Linked DNA regions of Cricetulus griseus. The protein of the gene in region 2 purifies or fractionates together with the protein of the main gene of each other region. This does not show direct contact. Links are inferred from orthologs where the notes say so. Each region holds a gene or a part of one and is shown on either strand. Other genes may lie near its edges.

Evidence for each region.
Region 1: the proteins of Ftsj1 (region 2) and Wdr6 purify together in Homo sapiens (affinity purification with mass spectrometry; 3 studies listed by BioGRID and IntAct, with this or other methods). This does not show direct contact. The link is inferred for Cricetulus griseus from reciprocal best matches to the Homo sapiens genes FTSJ1 and WDR6.

Annotation. Positions count from the first base shown.
Region 1 is NC_048597.1:216,752,788-216,757,302, forward strand, and holds the start of Wdr6 (WD repeat-containing protein 6), read right to left. Parts: upstream 3,050-4,515; 5' UTR 2,940-3,049; coding exon 2,840-2,939; intron 944-2,839; coding exon 1-943. Other genes in the region: P4htm (transmembrane prolyl 4-hydroxylase), read right to left, coding at 3,443-3,663, 4,052-4,175, 4,349-4,439. UniProt on the Homo sapiens protein: Together with methyltransferase FTSJ1, methylates the 2'-O-ribose of nucleotides at position 34 of the tRNA anticodon loop of substrate tRNAs. Required for the correct positioning of the substrate tRNA for methylation.
Region 2 is NC_048604.1:114,721,404-114,725,210, forward strand, and holds part of Ftsj1 (putative tRNA (cytidine(32)/guanosine(34)-2'-O)-methyltransferase), read right to left. Parts: intron 3,679-3,807; coding exon 3,575-3,678; intron 3,487-3,574; coding exon 3,289-3,486; intron 3,124-3,288; coding exon 3,088-3,123; 3' UTR 3,079-3,087; intron 1-3,078. UniProt on the Homo sapiens protein: Methylates the 2'-O-ribose of nucleotides at positions 32 and 34 of the tRNA anticodon loop of substrate tRNAs. Requisite for faithful cytoplasmic translation.

The DNA.
Region 1 (4,515 bases), on a different chromosome or scaffold from region 2:
GGCCGGCTGGGAGACTTGAAGCACAGAGCTGAGATGCCCAAGCCTGGGTACCCACGACCTACCAGGTGCCAGAGCCGAATGCCTGAGTCATCACCCCCAGTGATCACCCAGGCTTGCCTCTCATGAGCAGCTAGGGCCCGGATACCGCGGCCCTGGTGGCCCCGAAAGGCTTGAAGGATCTCACCTTCATGGCTCCACACCAAGCAGACACAGTCCTCTCCTGCACTAATGAGATAATTCTCTAAGAGCTTCACCTGCCATACACGGGCACTATGTCCAAAGCAGTGACCAATGTTCTGCACCCGACCCCCAGGTACCCGGAGGTCGCCCACCTTCCAGATACGGACACTTCGGTCTTCTGAAGCAGTTGCCAGCAGGCCCTTGCTTTCCAGGTATGACATGCTGAAGATGACACCCACGTGTCCACTAACCCGACGGTCAGGTGCCACAGGTTTGTTGTCTGTCAAAGCAGTTGCTGGATACCAGACCAGGAGCTGGTTGGAAACGGCCCCTGCCACTATGGTCAGTTCCTTCCAAGTGTCTCCAATCAGGCAGGCTGAGGAGAGGGTGCACCTGTCTGTGCAGGGTACGTCCTGTAGCATGCACCCTATCACAGGGTCATACAGCACCACTGAGTTGTGGCCCAAGGCCAAGGCTATGTTGCCTTCAAGCCAACGTACATCCCAGATCCAGTCGGACATGTTCCACAGGCCAGAGCGCCAGAGCTCTCGAAGATGGCTTTGACCCCAGCTAATTTTGACAATTCTGAGTCCCTTACTCCCAAACACAGCTATCATGGCCTCAGAGTCAAGGTCTCCTTTGGGCTCTGGTCGCACTCGGAAACCATGGATAAGAAAGTGGCCAAGCAGGTTCTGTACTCGCTTCACCATCTGGAGATGCCCACCAAAGTCCAAGTTGTACACCAGTAAGTCAGGCCCCTCACCTAGACAGAGGTAGAAAGCCACATCAGAGCCACTCCCCTAACGCTGTGGTCCATGACAAGATGGGAGCACAGCACTTGTTAACATATAACTTAATATATCAAGGACACAAAATCCTACTAAACCTAGGACGTCCTGACCTCAGCTTCAGCGAGACTTCTACTTCAAATGTATGTGTTTCTCAGGTACTTGTTTTTGTGGTGAGGTTCTCCCACACAGCCCAAGTTGACTTTGAATTCAAAATCCTCTTGTCTCAGCCTCCCAGCTGCTGAGATTATAGCACGGTGCCATTGTGCCTGGCTATCCATCACCCTTTACGTATATTCACTAGGAATTCTCCCATCATTGTTACATTTCAGATGGGAAAGCCAACTCTGCTCTATTCCCCAAATTCTCAGCTTCATCTGTCTCTACATGACTCTCCCTCCCTCAGGGAAAAGGCTGTGTCAACCTTTCCACACCTTAAGCCTATAACCAGCAACCCTCCCTCCTCAACCGATAACCCTGTGCATATTCAGAGGCACTGGCAGGAGTGGAGGCAGGAGCAGCCCACACCTCACAGGCAGGGGAGCTCTGGCCTCACCACTAGACAGCGGTGAACCCTTGTGTGAGACTCAGGCTTAGAAGGCCTCAACAGCACCAGACAGCAGAGAACCCTTGGAAGGTAGAATGAGGTACAGTTAGCAAGAGAGACGGCTCAGCAGTTAAGAGCACTGCTCTTCTGGTGGCCTCGAGTTCAATTCCCAGCACCCACATGGCAGCTCACAGCTGTCTGCAACTCCAAGGTCTGAGAGGGTTAAACCTAGACAGCATCTACTGTGTTACCCACACTCCTAACTTACGCTCAGAGGCTTGTCCAGTGCCTCCCTCTATACAAACTCACACTTCCTGGGCAATCTCTTACACCCCTTTTGTGTTAGAGCCCACAGACCCAGATCAACAGACATTCCCAGAATTGGCCTGGCAGCTTCCTTTTGGCCACGCTGCAGCCATTTCCCGCTATCTCATCCGCATCCCAGCAAACATCCCCAGCCACTGCCCACCCCAGCCCAAACCCAGAGGCCGCAACATTACTCCTCTCTTAATGCTCCATATCTTCTCTTTCTCCAGCTTCTACAGATTTCACTTCCAGAAGAGTTTGCTGGCCCCACCTCACTGGAGCAAACCAATATTTGCACCCACACACTCCCCCCACCCTCCGCTTATCAACTCTCCATTATACCCTCGACACAACCTTGTTGGGCTGACGATGGCTGACCAGAGGCATAGTAGTCAGTGCTAGGGAGCTTTATGAATCCCCCGCCGCCACCATCACCAAGGCTAGTGGCTTCGAGTTAGGTTCTTTACCACCAGACACTGGGTCATGTGATTACTGACCCGGCTGGCCTAGAGCCCCAACCGTTGCAGGAGGGACCTGAGCCCGGCCCCTCCCAATACTGCTCTACTCGGAGAAGTCTCAGACTCAATTTTTGGCGACCATACCCTCCTTCAGGCCCCTCATCTTTGGGGGCGGAGCCTCACCCTCCCCAGAGGCCAACCTCGTGCCACGCCCCCTGGGGCCGTCGTTCTCTACCTCATCTGATTCCTTCAGGAGTGCAATGCCCTCCCCCCCCCCCCGTAGGGAGCGACGGCACCCCACCCGCCCTCCCCACGCCCTCCCCACGCCGGCTGCAGCTGAGGAGGAGCTGCCACGACGGCCTCAGCCCTGTCTCCCGAGCCCCGCCCCCCTCGGGCTGGCCCGCGTTCCCGCCACCTCCCAACCGGCCTCATCCCACGGCCAGGGCCCAGCCCGCTGCCCGTCCCCGTCCCGGGGCATCCTTTGTCCCGACGCCACCGCCCCGGGGGACCGGCTACGTCTTCGCCCGCCAGCACGACGAGAGCGGGCCAAGCCTCCTCACCCGCCAGCAGCCGGTCCCCAACGCACTCCAGACCCGTGACCGGGAGGAGTATGAGCTCCGAGGTCGCCTGCGGCCAGACGAAGTCCCCGACAGCGTCCATGACGTTCGTCAAGCTGCCGCAGCCGCCACAGCCGAGAAGAGAGCGGCGTTCTCGCGAGAACCAGCCGTCTGAGAGCCGCGTCGCCGAGCTCCCGATCCCCTAGCTACAGGTAGCGGAGCCCCGGCGCCCGGCCGCGGACGTCCAATGACGACCCTCGGCCCCACGCGATCCGGCTGGCGATTGGCCCAGCAAGGGAGCCGCCCCGCCCCCCGCCCCGCCCCCGCCCCCCGGGAAGCTGGCGGGGAGAGCGGCGGGCCTCCCCTCCCCCAGGCGGCGCGGAGCTGGCCTGCACCCGGCTCGAAGCCCTGTCGTTTTATTTGATGGAGCAGCATGGAGGCCGCTGTACACCAGTAAATAACGTGAACGTAGGAACAACTGCGCCCCTCATCGCGGCTGCAGGCGGGAAGGGGCAGGGCAAGATCGGCCAGATCTTTAGTCTGCAGTACAACAGAGGACCTGCAGGGTCTTTGACGATGGGCAGTGACTTGCATCTTGGCCTCGCGTCAGAGCTCCACGCGGGCATCACTGTAGGCCCTGTCCAAGGCCCATTCGGGCTGCGGGTCGGAGCCGCCTTCACGCGCCAGACGAGCCATCTCCTGCTGGAACAAAGCTTGCCGTGCCCGGCTGGGGTCCACATTGATCCAGTTGTTAGCGATCCACTTGGTGCCACGGGTGACCAGGCAGCCGCCATGCAAGGAGTAGTCGTCCACTTCACCCACCCAACCTAGGGGACGAAGGTGGCATGAACAAAGGGACACGTGGGAGGGAACCCTAGGCTGGACCCTCCTGAGCTGTGGAAACTCCTAATCCCCATGGAAGGACTCGGCATCTCACCCACTAAGGCATGGCCAATACACTGGCCCTCTGCCCGGCTTCCTTGTTGCTGAGCCAGCCACTCCATAGCTCTTCCCGGCCTGGGTTGTTGAGAGTATTTCCCTAGCCCCAGAGTACAGAAAGGCTGATGCGTGAGGGCAATGGATGGAGATACCCCAAGAGGCTGCGCTGTGGCCTAATGAAATCACTGGTTATGGCAGAAGGCTATTTGGAGAGCAGACAGAAACAGCCCTCAGGTGGCAGAAGGGAGAGATAAGTTCCCTCAGAGAAGCCCTCACCTTGCCCATCAGGCAGGTAGTTGTACCAAAAGACTGCAGTTCCTTGCTGGGGCTTGACACGAAGGTTCCCCTTGTCACAGTGCCTTCGAGTGTCTCGGAGATCAACATCATCCTGAATTAGACTCTGTGGGCAACAAGGAGTTGATGTTTGTGGACTGCCTGCCTCTGTACAGTCAGGCAGCCAAAGTTGGCTAGAGGGAAAACAGACATGTGCCCTCACCCCAGGTCTGGAAGGGTGTGTGTGCACTTGCCCAAGGCCCTGCCAACCCACAGAAGTAATAGCCCATTGGCCCTTACCATTTCATCATAGGTCCTGTTGTCTGCTACAGGGAAGACAGTCTCGCCCCCACCGGTGACGTTGTTCAAATAAAACAGCACCGTCATGTAACTGTAAGGCGGAGGGGAGGGGCTGCTGAGCGGATCCCCAACTGAGGATATTCCCACTTGTGGGCAGGGTTACTCAG
Region 2 (3,807 bases):
GTAGGACAAAACGACCACCCACAGAATGGGAAAAGATCTTCACCGATCCCACATCTGACAGAGGACTGATTTCCAAAATATATAAGGAGCTCAAGAAGCTAGCCACCAAAACACCAAACAATGAAATTAAAAAGTGGGGTGCAGAACTAAATAGAGAATTCTCAACAGAGGAATCTGAAATGGCTGAAAGACACTTAAGAAAGTGCTCAAAACATTGGCCATCAGAGAAATGCAACTCAAAACAACCCTGAGATACCACCTCACATCTGTCAGAATGGCTAAAATCAAAAATACCAATGACAATCTATGCTGGAGAGGATGTGGAGAAAAAGGAACACTCCTCCATTGCTGGTGGGAGTGCGAACTTGTAAGACCACTCTGGAAATCAGTATGGCGGTTGCTCAGAAAAATGGGAATCAGTCTACCTCAAGATCCAGCCATTCCTCTCTTGGGTATATACCCAAATAGTGCATGTTCATACAACAAGGACATATGTTCAACCATGTTCATAGCAGCATTGTTTGTAATAGCCAGAACCTGGAAGCAACCTAGATGCCCCTCAACTGAAGAATGGATTGAGAAAATGTGGTACATTTATACAATGGAGTACTACTCAGCAGAAAAAAAGCAATGGAATCTTGAAATTCGCAGGCAAATGGATGGAACTAGAAGAAACCATCCTGAGTGAGGTAACCCAGTCACAAAAAGACAAACATGGTATGTACTCACTCATATATGAATTTTAGACATAGAGCAAAGGATTACCAGCCTATAATCCTCTTCACCAAAGAAACTAGGAAACATGAAGGACTCTAAGGGATAAATGGTCCCCAGGAATGGAAGTGGCATGAACTCCTGAACTAATTGGGAGCATGAGGGTAGGGGAGAGGGAGCTAGCACAATAAGAGCAAGAGAAGAGGGGTAGAGGTGAGGAAATGGAGGGGCAGAAATATTGAGTTGGGGGAAGAATAGAGGAAAGAGAGCAGGATGAGAGATACCATATTAGAGGGAGCCACTATAGGTCTGAGAAGAGATCTGGAACCAGGGAGATCTCCAGAGACCTACAAGGATGACACGATCTGACAATCCAGGCAATGGTGGAGAGGATAACCTAAAAGTCCTTCCCCTAAAATGAGATTGATGACTTCTCTTTATGCCATCCTAGAGCCCTCATCCAGTGGCTGATGGAAGCAGAGACAGACATCCACAGATATACACTGAGCTGAAATCTGGAATTTAGTTGAAGAGAGGGAGGAATGAAGAGTGAAGGGGTCTGTACCAGGTTGGAGAAACCCACAGGAACAGTTGGCCTGAACAAGGGAGATCGCATTGACCCCAGATGCTGTCGGGGAGGCCAGTATAAGACTGATCCAGACCCCAGAACATGGATGTCAATAAGGAGGCCTCTGCACTCCAGGGAGCCTCTGGTGGTGGATTAGTATTTTTCCCTGGTGTAAGAAGGGACTTTGAGAGCCCATCCCACGTGAAGGGTTACACTCTGGCCCTGGACACATGGGGAAGGGCCCAGGACCAGCACAGGAAGATTTGGTGGACTTTGCAGAGCCCCCGTTGAGGGCCCTACCCTGCCTGGGGAGTGGTGGGTGGATGGAGTGGGGGTAGGCTGGGGGTGGAGGAGGAGGGATGGGGTTGAGGGGAGGGGAGGGAGAGGGAGAAGGGACTTACATGTGAAACAAGCTTGTTCCCTAATTAGAACTAATAAATAAATTTTAAAAAAAGCACTGGCTACTCTTCTAGAGGTCCCAAGTTCAATTCCCAGAAACCACATGAGAGCTCACAAACATGTGTAGTGAGATCTGGTGCCCTCTTCTGACCTGCAGGCAACATGCAGGCAGAACACTGTATACATAATAAATAAATAAAACTTTAAAAAAGTAACTAAAACAACCTCCTACCGCAGGATTACAGGTATGGGCCACAACAGCCAGGTTCTGTGGTTCTGGGGATAGAATCCAGAACTTTGTGCATTCGACCAACTCAACACAGCTCCTAATATGTTTTTGTTTGTTTCCTTGGTAGTATTGAAGATTGAAACTTTCAGCCCTTTGAAGATGTATTTTTATTTTATGTGTATGAGTGTTTTGCCTGCAATTATGTACAATAAATAAAATGCTAAAAAATTTTAAGCCAAAATTTACTGAGGGCTTTCATCTTTTGAGACAGGTTTTTATGTAGCTCAGGCTGTTTTCAAACCTGCTACATATCTGAGCCTTGTTTTGCATCTGAGTGCTAGGAATATAGGCACTACTACTATGCTTGTTTTTTGTTGTTTTTGTTTTGTTTTGAGACAGGGTTTCTCTGTGTAGCTTTGGAGGCTGTCCTGGAACTCACTCTGTAGACCAGGCTGGCCTGGAATTCAGAGATCTGCCTGCCTCTGCCTCCGGAGTGCTGGGACTAAAGGTGTGCACCACCACTGCCTGTTTTTTTAGATGGTGCTAGAGATTGAACCTACGGTTTTGTACATTCTAAGCAAGTATTCTATACACTTAGCTATACTCCAAACCAATGAAGGATCTTTCTTTTCTTTTCTTTCTTGGTTTTTCAAGACAGGGTTTCTCTGTGTAACAGTCTTGGAACTTAATTTGTAGATCAGGTTGGCCTCAAACTCAGAGATCCATCTGCCTCTGCTGGGATTAAAGGCTCAGGATGGAATTTTCTTTTTCTTTCTTTTTAAAAGACAGGGCCTCATTATGCATCCTTGGCTGGCCTGGAACTGTTCAGACCAGGCTAGCTTCAAACTTGTAGAGACCTGCCTGCTTCCCCTCCACCTCCCAAAGTGCTGGGATTAAAGGTGAGTGCCACCTTGCCCAACTATTTTTATTATTTTTAATTGTGTGTCCTTGTCCTGGGTATGTGCTTTCGAATGCAGGTGCCCAGGGAGGCCACATTCGTCCAATCTCATGGAGGTGAGCTGCCAGATATGGTGTTGGGAACCAAACTCTGATCCTCTGCAAGAGCACTACCTGCTCTAAACCAGTAAGCCAGCTTGTAGTCCCATTCAGCTTTTTCCCAAAGATGCCCTTTATTTGAACTTTGGGGGTAAAAAAAAGAAAAACTTACCTTAATGTGTTAAGGTGAGCAATTGATTTCAGTGTCTTCCACCTGCTGAAAAAGAAAAAGAAAAAGAAAAGGGACTCAGCTACTTGATTACATTTTTCCACTTGTCAGATTCTTATAGTTGTTGCATGGCAGGAGAGAACCATGTGAGTCAGGACAGAAACAGGCATATGGGGAAGGCATCATGGTGGGCTCAGAAGTGAGTATCCATACCTTGGGAGCCAGCACGGTATGACACTGAGGTACAATCAAAGGCTGGGGCAACTTGTCTACTCTGCCGATGGAGCATTCTTGGGGGAGGAGCTCCTTGGCCAGCTGCCCATTCTTCTTCAACCTGCAGGCCTCCTGGTATGGGGGTGAGATGGGGGGCTGTGTGGGTGGAGTATATTTGTACTCGGAGCCATCTTCTAGCTGTGGGACACAAGGAGCAGGGAGATGATGAGGCTCTGAGCATCTGAGACAGTCTCCCTGACCCATGTCCTAATGATTGGACACTCACATCCAGAGGATAACTGCGATCGGAATCGTAGGCACTGAGGTCCCCACAGGTCACAAAGGGCACAATAAAACGGGCAGGACCATCCAGCTGGTTGAAATCTAAATCTTAGAAAGAGGTAGAGTGAAGACTAAGACCAAGGCCAGTTATGGCACAGGTTACAGGAGCGTTAAGCCCTTCCCAATTAACTGGTCTATCATCAACTAGTCCTCTAGAGCAGATGGTCTTCATGGGGG